Oryctolagus cuniculus: one gene and its partners. The main gene of each other region encodes a partner of the protein of the gene in region 3 in a complex. Links are inferred from orthologs where the notes say so. Each region holds a gene or a part of one and is shown on either strand. Other genes may lie near its edges.

Region 1 (4,793 bases), on a different chromosome or scaffold from region 3:
CTGAAAGAATTAGCATAGATTCGCTGGGACGCGGGCCTGGCCGGGCGGGGGCGGGCCGCCGGGCGGGCGGCGCGAGGAGGTGGCAGGGTGGCGGCGCGCGACTCCGCGGTCCAAGATAAATAAAGCGAGCGCGGAGCGGTGTCAGGAAGCGGGCCCACGTGGAGTGGCGCGCGGGGCAGCCCCCGGGGACCGCGGGCGAGGGACGCCCGCGGGAACCCCGGCGCGGGTCCCCCAGAAGCTGGCGGGCTCGAGGGTGGGGCGGGGGTGACGTTTCGCACGTTCCCTCGAGGGGGGCAACGCGCCCTCGACCCGGTTCTAATCCTAGAGCTCTGAGATCCACATTCTGAGCTCTCCCGCCCCGCCCCCCAGTGCAGTGGGCGTCCGGAGCTGGGGAGGGGGGGCGGGGAGGCGTACCCCTTCCTACTAGCAGATCCCACAAGTGGCGAGTCTTACCCAAATCTGAAAACCCTGGACCTCAGGTTCCTGCTTAGGTCCCAGGGGGAGGAGGACGTTGAGTGTCAAATCTCCCCGGTTATTCCTCCCCGCCCCCATAACTCCGGCCCGAGGGCCCCGGAATTCCGGGGGGCTCAGACCTGCAGAATCCCGGAGGCTGTGGATGTTGTGGATTTCAGAAATCCTCTGAGCTCCAACCACTGTAGCTTCCGGGTGTGCAAAGAGTTAACATGGGCTGGATATTGAGGTGTGTGTATGGGGGGGGGCGGCGGGAGGGGTGGCGGGATCTGGGTGGGCGCGCTCTGATCTCCCTCCTCCCCCCCATTCCTCGGGGGTCAAGTTTCAGCGGCACTCCGCCCCCAGGGTAGGTGTGAAAGACACGTGTCCCCATTGTGAAGGGCCTGTCAGGCAGGACAAAGCGGCCGCCCACCCTCCCCCCGCCCCGCGGCCCAGCCTGGGGTCAGCTCCAGGGGGCCGGCTGGGTGTCGAGGTCGCTACGGCCCTGAGCTTTGGTGACATAGGGGAAAAAAGCTGGGAGACAGGGCGGAGGCCACGTGATATTTAAGAGGGGTTTGAGAATAAGGCGCCCCCCCCCATTGAAACACTCAGCCGTCACCTCCGTCGTAACCAGGGGAGGGGATGCACCCCTTCTCCCAACCGGCGCGGTGGGCACCGCGGCAGCTCCCTCCCGCCCCCGCCCGCCCGCACCCCCATCAATCACCAACACAGAGAATCGCAGTGCGGAGCGCAGTCGGTTTTAGTGGTTTTCTTTAATCCTGCTCTGCACTTCTTTCTCATTTACTACACGGGATATTATAAAGAATAAATAGCAGATACTCTTAATTTACAATGATTAGTCATTCCATTTGTTCTCTATATTTACAATAACTGTAAAATAACATTGAACTCTATAGCTTCTCCGAGGTCCAAGGAAAACCAACACACTTTCCGAAGAATGGAAAATAGCTTTTAAAAAGTCCTTCTACAAAAGTTCTCCCCTCTCTTTGTACTTTAAGAAAAAAAAATAACTTTTCCCCCCTGCTTCGCCATGCGAAGGGCACTGGAATATAAATAGCAGGTTAACATTGTCAGCAACAACCAGAATAAGTCTCTTTTCTCTGTTCTTTTTTTTTCCTTTTGCTTAACTTTTTTTTAAAAATACAGTAGAAGCCGGTAACTTTTAACGTATAATACTGACCTTTTAATAAGTAAATTAAAACTGGGACCGTATATACACACATATACATTCCTACACAGTTAAACAGTGCATTACATGAACCAGAAAGCTAGGTCTCTGTAGCCAAAAAAAAAAAAAAAAAAAAAAAAAAAGTTCATTGAAAAACCCCTCACTAGAGGGTGGTGGAACTGGTTGGGGGCGGCGTAGGGGGGCGTCGGCGGGGCTCTCGACCAAGTGTCCCGGTGCGGGGCAGGGGGCCCCCGAGTTCTAGCACGAGCACTTGCACTCGGAGATGATGGGGTACTGGATGGGGATCCAGCCGCAGCGCTGGCCCGCGCGCCGCTGACAGCGCCACCGCAGCACGGTGAGGTGCACCGACTTGGAAGGTTTGCACACCATGCCCTCCGGCACGGAGCACGAGCGCTTGCTGAAGCAGCTGCCCACCTTCACGTAGCGCGGCCAGAAGCGGCTGCCCAGGTCGTTCCAGGCGTACAGCACAGGGCAGAAGGTCTGCGACCACAGCCACATCTGTAACTTCCTCCGCAGCTTCTTGCTGAGCCGCTGCTTCTTGCCCTGGGCCAAGCCCTCGGAGAACTCCAGCCCTTTGATCTCGCTCGGCATGGCCCCCGACGGCCGCTGCCGCAGCAGCTGGTCCAGCTCGGCCAGGTCCTCGGCGCCCCCCGTCGTCCCGCCGCCCGCGCCGGGCCGGTCCTCGGGGGGCGAGGTGGCCATGAAGCCCGGGTCGTAGTGGCCCCCGAGCAGCGAGCGTAGCAGCGTCTCGTTCAGATCCTTCTCCTTGGGGTCAAAGATAGGGTCCGGGTGCTCGATGAGGTCCACCAGGGGCAGGTTGTCGCTGGGAGCCGGGCGGATGTGGAGGTAGTGCTGGCCGCCGGCCGGTGCCGCCCGCAGCCCCAGGACCACCACCAGGGCGTAGAGGGTGACCCCCAGGCTGGGGCAGCGCTCCATGCCTCCGGCGCGCGCCCGGGGCCGCTGCTTCGTCCCGCGTCCCCGGAGGAGAGCACGCCGAGCCCGCGGCGCCGCCGCCGCGCTCCCCCGTCTCTCCGGAGGCGGCTCACCCGAGGCTGGGCAGGCGCAGGGCGGGCAGCATGAGCCGCGGGGAGAGAGAGCTCTTCGCGCAGCGCCGGCTCCCGCCGGGGCGGAGAACAGGCACGCAAGTTGGCCGCAACTCCTCTCCGCGCTCTACTCGGGACGCCGGCCGCGGCGGGGCATCCGAAAGGACTCCAGGGCGGCCGCGGGGCTCGGGGGGCGCCGGCTCCTGGCTGCCTGGCCGGGCCGGCGGCGGCGCAGGGCGCGTGGACGAGCCGCTCTCCCCTCCTCCTCCTCCTCCTCCTCCTCCTGCCGCTGCTCCTGCTGCTCCTGCTCCTGCTCCTGCTGCTCCTGCTGCTCCTCTCGCTCCTCTCGCTGCTCCTCGCCGGGCCGCTGTGCGCAGCGCCGCGGGCCGAGCGGCTCCTGGGGCACTTCCCTCCGCCTGCTCGTGGCTCCGCGGCCGGCTCTGCCCGGCGGACTCCAGCGGCGGCGGCGGCGGCGGCGTCCGCGCACGTTGGCACCGGTTTGTCTGTCTCGCAGGGTCCAAGCCTTTAAATTTCCTGCACTTTCAGCTCCATCACCATGGAAACCACTGACTCTCTCGGCGTTGCCCCCTCCCCCTCCTTCCCCCCAAACAACAACCCCACCCCCCACCCCTCCACCCCCGAGGAGCCGGAGCGGCACAGGCTCGGGGGGTAGCCGCCTGCACTCGCCGCGGAGGCGGCGGCGGCGGCTTCGGCAGCGCCCAGGGCTGTGCCCCGCCGGACCCAGATGCCCCGGGAAGCCGACAGCCCGGCTGCCCGCCGGAGCTCCCAGGCGGCGGCGGCGGCGGCGGCGGCGGCAGCGGCGGCGGCGGTGGCGGCGGCGGCGGCGGCGGCGGCGGCGGCGGTGGCGCTTGGCAGGTCTCCGCGCAATTTTCTCTCTCCCCCACCACCCACCCCCCTTCTCCTCCTCCTGCAAAATGCACCGCCCCCCTCCTTTCTTCTGGAGCAATGCAACTGGGGCTCTAGGCGCCCCGCCAGGGCCAGTCCCGGGGAAAGCTCGCTGAGGCGCTGGAGCCGGCTTGGAGGGTGCAGGGCCGGTTCTTGGGGGTGCTCGCGGTGGAGCTGGGGCAGGGGGCTTGCTCCTTACTAGCTGGGTGCTTTGCACTGGGAAGGGAGCAGCGGAGAGGTGCCGGCAGCTCGATTCTCCGTGCAGTTCGGAGCAAGAAATTTCTCCATGTGCACGGAGCGTTTTCCCCGGGCGCGTCTCGCCTGCTTCTCTCCAGGGCTCGGGCTGGGTCCCCTCCCCCAATACACGCGCGCACAGGGTCCCCCTCCCCGCCCCCTCCCTCCACACTGCGCCCGAGAGTCCGAGAGCCGCAGCGTTGCGCAGCGTGATGTAATTCCCAGGAAGCACTCCTGCCCGTCTGACCCCCGGGCCCACGATGGGGGTTCGCTCCTCACCCTCCTCTTCCTCCTCCTCCTTGGCCGGGTCCTGCACCCTGAGTGGCCCAGCCGCAGGGGCGCGTCCGGCTCGCCGGCGGCTCCCCTCGCCCGCCCGGCTCCGCGCTGCCGCCGCTCGGCTCCCTGGGGGCGGCGCGCCCTCTGCTGGCCCGCTGCAAGCCCTGCAACTGGCGCTGGTGGGCTCCGGGCTGCAGCCCACTCTGCCTGGCTCAGTTTCCCCTGCTGTGCCCGGGTCATTTTGTGCGCGTCTGCGTGTGCTGAAGGGCCCGGCTCTGCTTCTGGCTGTTTTCTCGAAGCTCTCCGGGACCTCAGTGGAAGCAAAAGACCCAGCGGCTCCCTCCCAATCCCTTCAACTTTCCCAAGAACAAGTGCCGCACCTTCTGCCTCCCGCGACCTCCTCCTTGGTGGACTCTGTGCCTTCGTTTCCGCTGTCGTGCCCTAGCTCTCTTCCTCTTCCAGCCTTACCTTCCTGCGATTCTTAAATAAACCTGCGCGCGATGCCCTCTCTTTCAGGAGCTGTTTCTCTCGAGCGATCACTGGGCACTGGCCCGACCCCTCCAGTTAACTTTCCCGGGATGAGGAATTGAATCTAAGCTTCTCTCCCGAACCCAGTTTGCTTTGTGGCGACTGGAGCGTGGAAAAAGCTGGAGAAAAGGAGCTTGGAGTGGATG
Region 2 (4,479 bases), on a different chromosome or scaffold from region 3:
TTGCACACAGAAATTTATGGCACCCAAGGGAAGCCTGCCATTGCCCATCGAGACCTGAAGAGCAAAAACATCCTCATCAAGAAAAACGGGAGCTGTTGTATTGCTGACCTGGGCCTTGCTGTTAAATTCAACAGGTGCGGGGGTCTTTGCCCAACCATGTTGAAAGTGTTGTCACCTCCAAAGGGTGTTTCTGTACCTGTTTGTCCTGAGGACATTGCAACTCTGAAAACACGTAGGGACCCTTCGTTAGGTCATATATGCATATAGTTGGAGTTTTATGGGGTTTTCTTGTTAGTAATTACATACTACTTTACATAATTCTTGATTTCCTGCTTTTTGTCTTACATGTCCTTCCTTTTCAGAAGGGTGTTTGTGTAGATCTGCCTCATTCTTTTTTTTTAATTTTAAGATTTATTTTATTTATTAGAGAGAGAGAGAGAGATCTTCCATCAGCTGGTTCACCCCCCAAATGGCTGCAGTGGCTGGAACTGAGCCTGTTTGAAGCCAGGAGCTAGGAGCTTCCTCTGGGTCTCCCACATGGGTGCAGGGGCCCAAGGACTTGGGCCATCTTCCACTGTTCTCCCAGGCCATAGCAGAGAGCTGGATCAGAAGTGGAGCAGCTGGCACCCATATGGGATGCTGGTGCTACAGGCCAGGTCTTTAACCTGCTGTGCCACAGCACTGACCCCCTGCTGCTACTTAACAGATGTAGTTTTCCGTGACCCAACTGTTGGATGTTACTGTTACCTTCAGTTTATCCCTGTTATTAAAAAAGTTTTAGCGAACATTACTATGTTTTATCCATAGAATACAATATGGCCTTGAGCACTTGTACAAGTATTTGTTCCCAATGGATTCCTGGAGAAGGAGTATGTGAAATTCCGACCTGTGGCCTGTTGTCCCCTCACAAAGCAGGCGTCAGCTACCCCTCCTGTGAACAGAGCAGAGAAAGACGCCCTTTCTCCACGACTGCTGGATGGTGCCAGCTGTTTAAACATCAGAGTTACAAAGCTTTTAGGATATGAGAGAGAGAAAGGGGGAGACACTGGTGTAAAATGTCGTGAAAACACAAGCTAGGCTCTTCGTTGGTGGCACTCACCCTGGATACCATCTTGTTTCAGTGACACGAATGAAGTGGATGTGCCCCTGAACACCAGGGTGGGCACCAAGCGCTACATGGCTCCCGAGGTGCTGGACGAGAGCCTGAACAAAAACCACTTCCAGCCCTACATCATGGCGGACATCTACAGCTTCGGCCTCATCATCTGGGAGATGGCCCGCCGCTGCGTCACGGGAGGTAGGCGGTGGGGCGGCCTGCCTGGTCCTACTGGTTTGCCCATCGTTGAAGAAACAGCAGCTGCTGTGGGGTAATTTAGATGTCACGTCTGTCAGAGTCCCCAGGAGCGCCCCCCAGATGCCGTGATGGCTCTAGGACTCGGCACGTAGTCATTCTCACGGCTGAGATGTACGGTGAGAGCCACAAGTCTAACTCGGACAAGGAAAGGGCCGGGGGCAGAGTCAGGATGCCGAGCCCCTCCCACTGTGGACCGTGATGACGTCTGTCATGCACTGTCACACAGGGCACTCACAGCAAAGCTGGTGGTGTGGGCATCCTCCTCCTGGCCACTCCCAAACCCCCGGCTCCCAGAGGGAAAGCAGGTGTCGAGTGCGTACCGTCCAGGAGCAGCCGTGCCTTTACCACAGGGAGAGTTCTGTGTGCACGCAGGGCGTCGTCTTGCCTGCAGGCTCCTAGGCACCAGCCCAGGGCGGCCTTGCAAGCAGGCTTCAGTGAGAAGCCCGGCGTCAGGCCTGCTGTTGTCTGAACTCTGGTCTGCAGCTCATGTCTCTCCACTGTGGGACAAAGTCAGCCAGAGGGCTAGACACGCATTTCATTGGTAGGAACAGCCTGCTAGTCGGTGGTCCTGTGTATGGTGTAGAGTAAGTGCAAGGGTTCGCCTTGCCCCCCACCCACGGAATACTGGCGTTTCCTGATGGGCTGTCACAGTTCTGGGGTGCTGGCTGGAGGGGAGGAAATAATGGGCATGAATAAGAGAAGCCCGTGCACTCACCGTTCGAAGTGGACCCCCAGGCCCTAGCTGTCTTCCTTGGGTAGGAGCTGTGTGGCCCTGTAGCTCTGCAGGTTGGCTGCGCAGTGTGGCCACGGTGTCCCTCTGCCTGCAGGGATCGTGGAAGAGTACCAGCTGCCGTACTACAACATGGTGCCCAGCGACCCATCCTACGAGGACATGCGCGAGGTCGTGTGCGTCAAGCGGCTGCGGCCGATTGTGTCCAACCGCTGGAACAGCGACGAGGTGAGTGCCGGCTCCCCGCAGAGGGGGCGGGCTTTGGCGCCCACCGCCCTCTCTGCTCACCATTTCTTCTTTGCTTCCAGTGCCTGCGGGCCGTGCTGAAGCTGATGTCAGAGTGCTGGGCCCACAATCCAGCCTCCAGACTCACGGCGCTGCGGATCAAGAAGACGCTGGCCAAGATGGTGGAGTCGCAGGATGTAAAGATCTGAGCTACGCGCTGCAGGCGCCGCCCCTGCCCCTGGGCTCGCCGGGGCCAGCATGGGAGGAGGACTCGAACCTGGCTCACGCCCGCCCTCACTGCACCTTCCCAGGCTGCTAGCGTCAGACCCTCCCGTATCCTAGAAGCCGGGAACTCGTAGACACTTGGTTTCTATACGAACAGCTGTGTTTTAAATGTGGTATTTGATGCCTTTTTTTATTGGGTTTCTATGAACTGCATAGACTTCAGTCCTGATGAGTAGGGCTCCAGTCAGACTCTGGGTGCTGAGCTGCCTGGTCAGCAGGTGGTGCTTTCTGTGAAAGCCTCCGGAAGATAGAGTTCAGCAGAGGTGGAGAAGCACACGCTTGCCTTCTACCCGAGGACGTTCCATCTGTGCGCTCCGCTTGCCTTTGCAGAGTGGCCCCGAGGGGGCGCCTGGCCTGCCTCCGTCACCCGCCAGCCGCCCTCGGCTGCCCTGGGAGCTGGAAGACAATGACGGACGAGTGCACAGGAAGGTGCTGGTGGCTGCTGGTTTGTGCTTTAAAAATGCAATTTCTGACCGAGAGTCCCCTTCTTTAAAAGCCTTGCGGGCTGGAGAGCTCCCCTACCCGTGTTTCTTCTTAATGTCAAAGTCAGTGTCAAGGCCAAAAGAAGTCTAAAGTGCCCATGAATCTGGACTGTTTTCCTGCCACCACCCTTTTTTTTGGGGGGGGTATTTTGTTGGGAAGAGCACCCTCCCCAGAGCTGGAGCCTCCAGTGCCATAAGCTGCGTCACCTGGAAAGCACCTGCTGTGCGTTGGCCCGCAGTGCCAGTGCCGCTGACTGCCTTCTGTGTTCCTCGTTCTCAGTGACTTTTAAAAGGGAAGTTATTTATATTTTGTGTATAATGTGCTTTACTTGCAAAACCCCTGCTCCCTGACAGCCTGCGGGGGTCACATGTGTCCGTGTATTAGCAGCCAGCTCACGGGGCCCTCAGCCCACCCCCCAGGGGAGACACTGGGGAGAGCGGGACTATGGGGGAGTGTTCAGAATGATCGCGGCCACGGCAGGGCTCCCCATGCCGGGCCCTGTCAGCCCTGGGCAAAAATGTGTCCACTAAGATTGCAATGTTCCTTTATGAGAGGAGTCTCTTGATTAGAAATGTTGTCTCAGAGCTGATGGAAATCCATGCGCAGCTGTTAATTAAGCGTGTTGTAGACAACCAGATGGTTTGCGGTTTCTGCGCCCTGCCGTGTGCAGACACTGGAGAGTCGGGAGAGGCTCAGCACCTGGTCAGCACCCGTGAGCACGCAGTGCGCCTGTCACTCAGTAAAGTGGTGCCAGTTTCCTAGATGCTTTCCCGCCTCCAGGAACGGTGCAGGTCCTGCAGCTTGCTACCGCGTAACACCTCCAGATAGCCACCTCCTGCTCAGAACACACAGCTCATGGGTGCATCCCGTGAGATCGACATAGCATCCACGCGGGGATATCACACACGGTCAGAAAGGCTTAAAGTAAACGCGGGCAAATCACAGCACGTGTCCTTCCGTGTCGTTGGAAGCTAAAACGCACATGTGGGTGTCTACACAAATTTGAAGCTTGCCTTATCCGTCTGGATTGTTTAGTAAGTTGCATCTCACATAATCAAAATCGGAAGTGTTTATTAAGATAAGTAAATTTGCATATTGGCAGTACCAAATAACTTGCCTTTTTGCCTTTTCAGAATGTTTCCCCATCTATATATCCAGAAATATATTTTCATCGAGATTGCCACGTGACGTTTTTGAGCCCTGGTTAACCTTGGTTAACCTTGGTTTGTGTATGACTTGATAAACTAAAAATTTTGGTCATCTTAGTATAGGAAATTTATACCGAAAGGCAAATTTCATTCTTAGAAATGCTAAAATGGTATGTGAAGCAAAAAATTGCAGTGTATGAGGTCACAATGATAATGTTTTTGATTAGTGTGGACTGGTGACAGTGATACTGAGA
Region 3 (5,181 bases):
GGTGCAGCAGATTAAAGCCCCAGCCTGCAGCACCAGCATGTGATATGGGTGCCGGTTCGAGTCCCAGCTGCTCCAATTCCAATCTAACTCCTCACTGGTGTGCCTGGAAAAGCAGTGGAGGATGGCTCAAGTCCTGGGGCCCCTGCACACATGTGGGAGACCCAGAAGAAGCTCCTGGCTCTTGGCTTCGGATCAACCCAGCCCCGGCTGTTAAGGCCAAAAATAACTTACTATATTCTGGGTAGCCTGCTTAGGTCTTGATCAAGCCATTTCTAGAAAAAGACACAGGCACACTTCATTGCTGAAACAGTTACACATGTCAAAGTCTCAGGTGCTTTTGATTTTTAAATAATCTTCCTCTCAAAGTTATGAGAAAGACACCATACCTTCCTAGCCTTAAAAATGAACGTTAAGAGGAGACCTATCCAGCTAACTCCTATTCCCTTTTTATCCAGAAATACTATTCTAATCTGTGTCAACTGGAAGCGATGAACCTGTAGTCATCTCATGGTTACCATGACAGAAGACACAGGAAGGAAAACCTTTCTCCTGTAACAACAAACTTCTGCTGTCAGTGGCTGAATTCTCAACAGATAGAAAAAGATGTTGATCCTCAGATCTTCAGAAAACACTTTACTTCAAAATGTGCTGGAACACGTGCTACCAGCTCCCAGCTCCCTTCACTGTGACAGCTGGGATGAGAAGTAGCTTGTGTGATGGGACCTGCCTTTGGGACTTCTTCTCATTATCACCCATCGTTCTTGAAAACGTCCCACTGAGAGAAAATTGTTTTCGTCAAGGAAAAGGGAACATCAGTCAGTGCAAGTGGCTGTTCTGTGATCTGTAACTCCACTCTTTTCTAGAATTCGCAGGAATGCATTCTGTATTTAGAGCTATTAAGCCAAAGGCACATTTAAAAGAACAAAAGAATGGAAATGTAGCATGTAGTTGACTAACGGTGCTAAGAAGTTAGGTGCAACAGAGCTCCATAGCTGCCCTAAGACATTTCAAATCCACTAAATGCCTTCCTGATGAAACCAGCAGAAATATCCTACCTTAGGAAAACCACATCCAGGATCATAAAAGAAAAAAAAAATCACATTTCAATGCATGTGAAGGAAGACAGGCAGCTGCTGCAAAAGGTTTTATCTGAAGGCTTGCTTTGTCTCTACTCTGAGCCTATCTCAGATTTAAGCACGAGACAAGAAAGTCATTGTGGAAACAATAAGATTGATTGTGGAATTGATCTCCCACGGGGATTAGATAGGGATTCGAAATCTTCCAACGCAGGCCCAGATCCACTGTAAATTAGGAAGACTTGGGGGCCCTGGGCTTTGATTTTTCAAGACTATCTGAGAATTCCGCCCTTGCCTCAGTCTAGCTTGAAACCCTGGCTTAAGCTGGAGACACAGATTTATGGAGCAAGGGCTTCCAAACAGACTTCAAGAAATCCCAAACCTCCTCCTTCTCCCACTGCGGAATTCCTGCACGCTTAGCTGACCAGGGGCATGCCTTTTAGCCTCGTCTTCCCCATCCCTTGATTCCGCTCTGGTTCCTGGAGGAGGAGTCGCCCTCCTGGCTGCGTGCCAGGAAACGGGTACGGACCGACCAAGGGGGAATCCCTGGCTGGCCCGCCACACGAGCAGTGCCTGAAAATCAGATTCAGAAAGGTCGGTACGGAAGCAAGAGGGACAGCATCCGCAGAGCTCTGGCTGAACTGCCTCTCCAGGGATGCCCGCAGCCGGCCTTGGTGCTCGGCGTTGCGGGTAGCAACCCGCCCGCGTCTCTGCCCCTGCGGCGCGCGCCTCGCCTTACCTTCGTGGTGGAAGCTGCGCACCGTGTTGGCGCGGCTGGCTGCCCTCTCCAGCCGGTGGTCCGGGGCGGGCGCGCCAGGCTGGCCGGAGTGCCGGCGGTACAAGTCCAGCATGTAGGGGGGCACCACGGCGTCCCTGCTAGGGGTGGGTCTCTGCTTCAGACCGAACATGCTGAGCAACCGCAACTCGAACTCGCTCAGGATGTCGTCCGAGGGCTGGGGCGAGGGGCGGCCCGATGACGCCGCGAACTTCCTGCGGCCCAGCTCGGGGATGAGGCCGGCCGCGCCGCCCAGGAGGACCTGGGGAAGCAGCAACGCTAGAAGACAGCGGGTCCCGGCCACCATGGTCGACCTGCGGACAGGGCCGACGTGAGTCACCCGAGTTCCCCGCCCAGTCCTCTCCCTTCCCGCCCCCGCGGCCTGGGCTCCCGCTGCGCTCGCTCGCCTCCTCCTCCAGGGCGCCCTCCTGCCTTGCAGCACTTGCTGGCTATGTCAGAGCGGCCACAGCTCTAACGTTTGGGGTGGGGTGGGGGAATGGAGGGCCCCAAGTTCCTGACCCAGAGCACTTTTCTCTCTCCCACCCCAGCCTGGGCCCGTCTGATACTTGATTTGGGGGTTGGCCTTATCCCTCGCTCCCTCCCCACTGAACTTAAGTGGTTGTCACTCCCCCCTCCCATACACACACACACACACACACACACACACACACACACACACACACACCAGAGCTGGCAGCCATGCAGGGAGTCTGGGGGATCACCGCTTGATCTGACACCCTGCCGCGCCTAGCCAAACTCAGAGCGCTCCCTTGCCTATAAACGCGCGCGCATGTGACTTCCTGAGAACCGGGGCACGGAACTTCCTGAGCCACAGTTCACCACTTCCAGACCCTGCAAACTCAGGGCCACGACTTCTGAAGCCGCTTGGCGGTGGCTGCCCGCTGGGTGTCGGGACGCCCCGCTCCACGCCCGCCCGCGAGCCCCCGGTGCGGTCGCGTACGCAGGTACCTTCCCGGCGTTACATAAAGGGCCGATCTCCACGCGCGCACGTGCCAGCGGGGAAACCCACGGCGCGAGCGGGACCCTGGCCCTCTAGCGCTTCTAGCAACCGGCGGAGAGAACCCCTAACGCCCAGCGCTTTCCTACGGGGGACGGGGCTCTGATGGAGAGCGCGGGTCTCCCCCAGAATCTTGATGAAGACAGCGCCGTGCCACGGCGTACAGGTTGGCAGCTAACGGGTGAAACCCAGGGGCCATCCTCTCCAAGGCAGCTCTTTGACTTTTTAATTTTTTAAAAAAATCATCTAAGTGTTAACAGCCTTAATAATATATCGAGGAAGAGCGGAGGAGGGGCGGAAGCGTGCGGGCGCGGGGAAAGGGGGCGCCCCCGCCGGGCTGGGCTGCACGTGGCCCCGGAGAGGGGTCTGTTTACGTCCTGCCCGGCCGCGCCCCGGAGGGGGGTCCGCCGCCGCCGCCGCCGCCGCGCGAGCCCAGCGCCCGCCCCGCACCCCGGGGCCCGCGCGTCCCGTACCTTTAGGAGACCGCAGTCCGTCTAAGAAGCCCGCGGGGACACGTCCATTGAAAGAGCCTCCACATGGAAAAAGCTCTGGCCCAGGGACCTGGCGCGGGGACCGGGCGTCCGCTCCCTTCCCGTGGCCTCCGGCTTCTCCTCCCGGCGCCGGCCGCCGAGTCCCTCTCCTCGCGCAGGGCGCGGCGTCCCGGGCTCGGCCCGGCAGAGGGCTGCAGCGCGGCGGGGCTCGGAGGCAGCGAGGCGGCTCCGCCGGGGCGCGGGCACCGGCGCGAAGCGGGGAGCAGCGCAAGTTAAGGCTGCAAGTTCAAGAAGTCTCCAGCCAAGTGCTGACACACAACAACAGCGAGCAGGGGGAGGAGTGCGGGCCGGGGAAGGGAAGGGAAGGCAGAGAGGAAAGGCTGCTGCTGTCGTCGTCCTCAGGCACCAGCGCCCGCGGGACGCGTGGCCGCGCGCGGGGCCGCCTGCGGGACTCCGGGGGGCGAGGGTCGGGCGCTCAGCGCTAGCTCCGCCGCGGCCCATGGCTCGGGGCAGCCATCCTGGGCGACGCCGGGTCCGGGGAAGGGCACAGCGGCGATCTCGATGCCCGGCGAGCTGCCCCCCCGCATCACTCTGCCTGCCGCCAGCGCACCCCCATCAGCGCTGGCCAGTGGAAACAGCCGCGGCTCCGGCGCCCCGTCGTCCTCGGGCGCATTCTCCGCGAGCCCAGCCGAGTCCCGGGCCGCCGAAGCGGGTGGCCGCGCTCTGCCCTCGCTGCTGTCCTAGCCCTCGGGCCAAGTGCCCTTTGTGGCCGGCTTGGGGTCCGATCACACCTCGGCTGGCACGTCTCGAGCCCCCGATCCCCGGCAGGAGGTGCTCGGCATCGCGGCGCTCGGGCTTGGCTCCGCACTCTCCGGCGCTCCGCGCGCCCGTCCGCGGCTCCGGCGCGGCCCGGGCAGCCGAGGCCACCGAGCTGTGGCGCGCAACGGCCGGGTGCTCCAACCCGCGAGGGGTCTGCGGTGCGCGGGTGCCTCGCAGCGCCCAGTAATCCGCGCGGCGCTCGCCTCGAGGGCGCTCGGGTCGCCGGCGGCGGCTGATGTCCGGCGGCGGCTGCCAATCCCCGGCGGGGTGTGGGAACCGGAGCGGCGGGCGCAGCGCGAGCCGGGCGCAGCGCGGCGGGGCGAGGACTCCGGCGGCGACGGCGGCGGCGGCGGCGCCGTGGCGCGGCGCTCGCGGCTTTTAAAGGGGACGCCGCCTGCTGGCTCCCTCCCGGCCCCGGCCGAACACCTCCCCCTCGGCGGCACTGCTCGCCGGGGATCCCCGAGCGGGCGGGAGCGGCGCTCAGGGGTGTGGACGGCGCGCCGGGGGCAGCCGCAGCGGGGTGGGGCCAAGGGCGGGGGCGCGCGGCCGCCGAGGGGGGCGCTGGCGCTTCCACCCCCCTGCCCTAGGGCCGGAGATGTCACCCTTGTACCCGACCCTCGCGTGTTCTCCGGGGCTGAGATGCGGGGCGACGGCAGGTTCTGGCCTCGGTGTCTCCACCGGGCCCGTTATTCAGGTTTCAGTTTGAAGTTTTTCAGAAAAGAGCTCAGGGAAGTTACAGAGCATCTTGGTGCAGACGTGGTGTGGTAGACGCTTCTGTATTTCCCCGGCGAGGGGAAGCTGGAAACTGGCCGATATTTAACACAGAGACATCTATGTAGCTGCAGATGGAAATCCATGTGTGCGCATTTACAGTTACATAAATTTGGGTATGCATTTGCACTCAAACGCGTGTGCGCGCATGTGTGTTCATGAAAACATACCTAATACACGCGTGTGCTTCCAACCAAGTCACACGTCCCTTTAAACCCGGGTCTGCGGGTG

The links.
Region 1: the proteins of BMP2 (region 3) and NOG are in contact, whole or in part, in a crystal structure (PDB 7AG0), measured with the Homo sapiens proteins. The link is inferred for Oryctolagus cuniculus from reciprocal best matches to the Homo sapiens genes BMP2 and NOG. Residues at the interface, in NP_001191.1 of Homo sapiens: Trp310, Asp312, Trp313, Val315, Ala316, Pro317, Pro318, Gly319, Tyr320, Ala368, Ile369, Ser370, Met371, Leu372, Tyr373, Lys379, Val380, Val381, Leu382, Lys383, Asn384, Tyr385, Gln386, Met388; in NP_005441.1 of Homo sapiens: Ile33, Arg34, Pro35, Ala36, Pro37, Ser38, Asp39, Asn40, Pro42, Leu43, Val44, Asp45, Leu46, Ile47, His49, His199, Arg204, Arg206, Pro219, Ile220, Gln221, Tyr222, Pro223.
Region 2: the proteins of BMP2 (region 3) and BMPR1A are in contact, whole or in part, in a crystal structure (PDB 2QJ9), measured with the Homo sapiens proteins. The link is inferred for Oryctolagus cuniculus from reciprocal best matches to the Homo sapiens genes BMP2 and BMPR1A. Residues at the interface, in NP_001191.1 of Homo sapiens: Lys297, Pro330, Phe331, Pro332, Leu333, Ala334, Asp335, His336, Ser339, Asn341, Ile344, Val345, Leu348, Asn350, Ser351, Val352, Asn353, Ser354; in NP_001393490.1 of Homo sapiens: His66, Cys67, Pro68, Asp69, Ile77, Thr78, Asn79, Phe83, Ile85, Cys100, Met101, Lys102, Glu104, Gly105, Phe108, Gln109, Asp112, Arg120, Ile122.

What each region holds. Positions count from the first base shown.
Region 1 is NC_091448.1:32,238,520-32,243,312, reverse strand, and holds NOG (noggin), read right to left. Parts: upstream 3,273-4,793; 5' UTR 2,597-3,272; coding exon 1,898-2,596; 3' UTR 1,205-1,897; downstream 1-1,204. UniProt on the Homo sapiens protein: Inhibitor of bone morphogenetic proteins (BMP) signaling which is required for growth and patterning of the neural tube and somite. Essential for cartilage morphogenesis and joint formation.
Region 2 is NC_091446.1:78,229,501-78,233,979, forward strand, and holds part of BMPR1A (bone morphogenetic protein receptor type-1A), read left to right. Parts: coding exon 1-134; intron 135-1,121; coding exon 1,122-1,297; intron 1,298-2,181; coding exon 2,182-2,312; intron 2,313-2,392; coding exon 2,393-2,518; 3' UTR 2,519-4,479. UniProt on the Homo sapiens protein: On ligand binding, forms a receptor complex consisting of two type II and two type I transmembrane serine/threonine kinases.
Region 3 is NC_091442.1:31,667,721-31,672,901, reverse strand, and holds the start of BMP2 (bone morphogenetic protein 2 precursor), read right to left. Parts: upstream 3,405-5,181; 5' UTR 3,343-3,404; intron 2,166-3,342; 5' UTR 2,159-2,165; coding exon 1,816-2,158; intron 1-1,815. UniProt on the Homo sapiens protein: Growth factor of the TGF-beta superfamily that plays essential roles in many developmental processes, including cardiogenesis, neurogenesis, and osteogenesis. Induces cartilage and bone formation.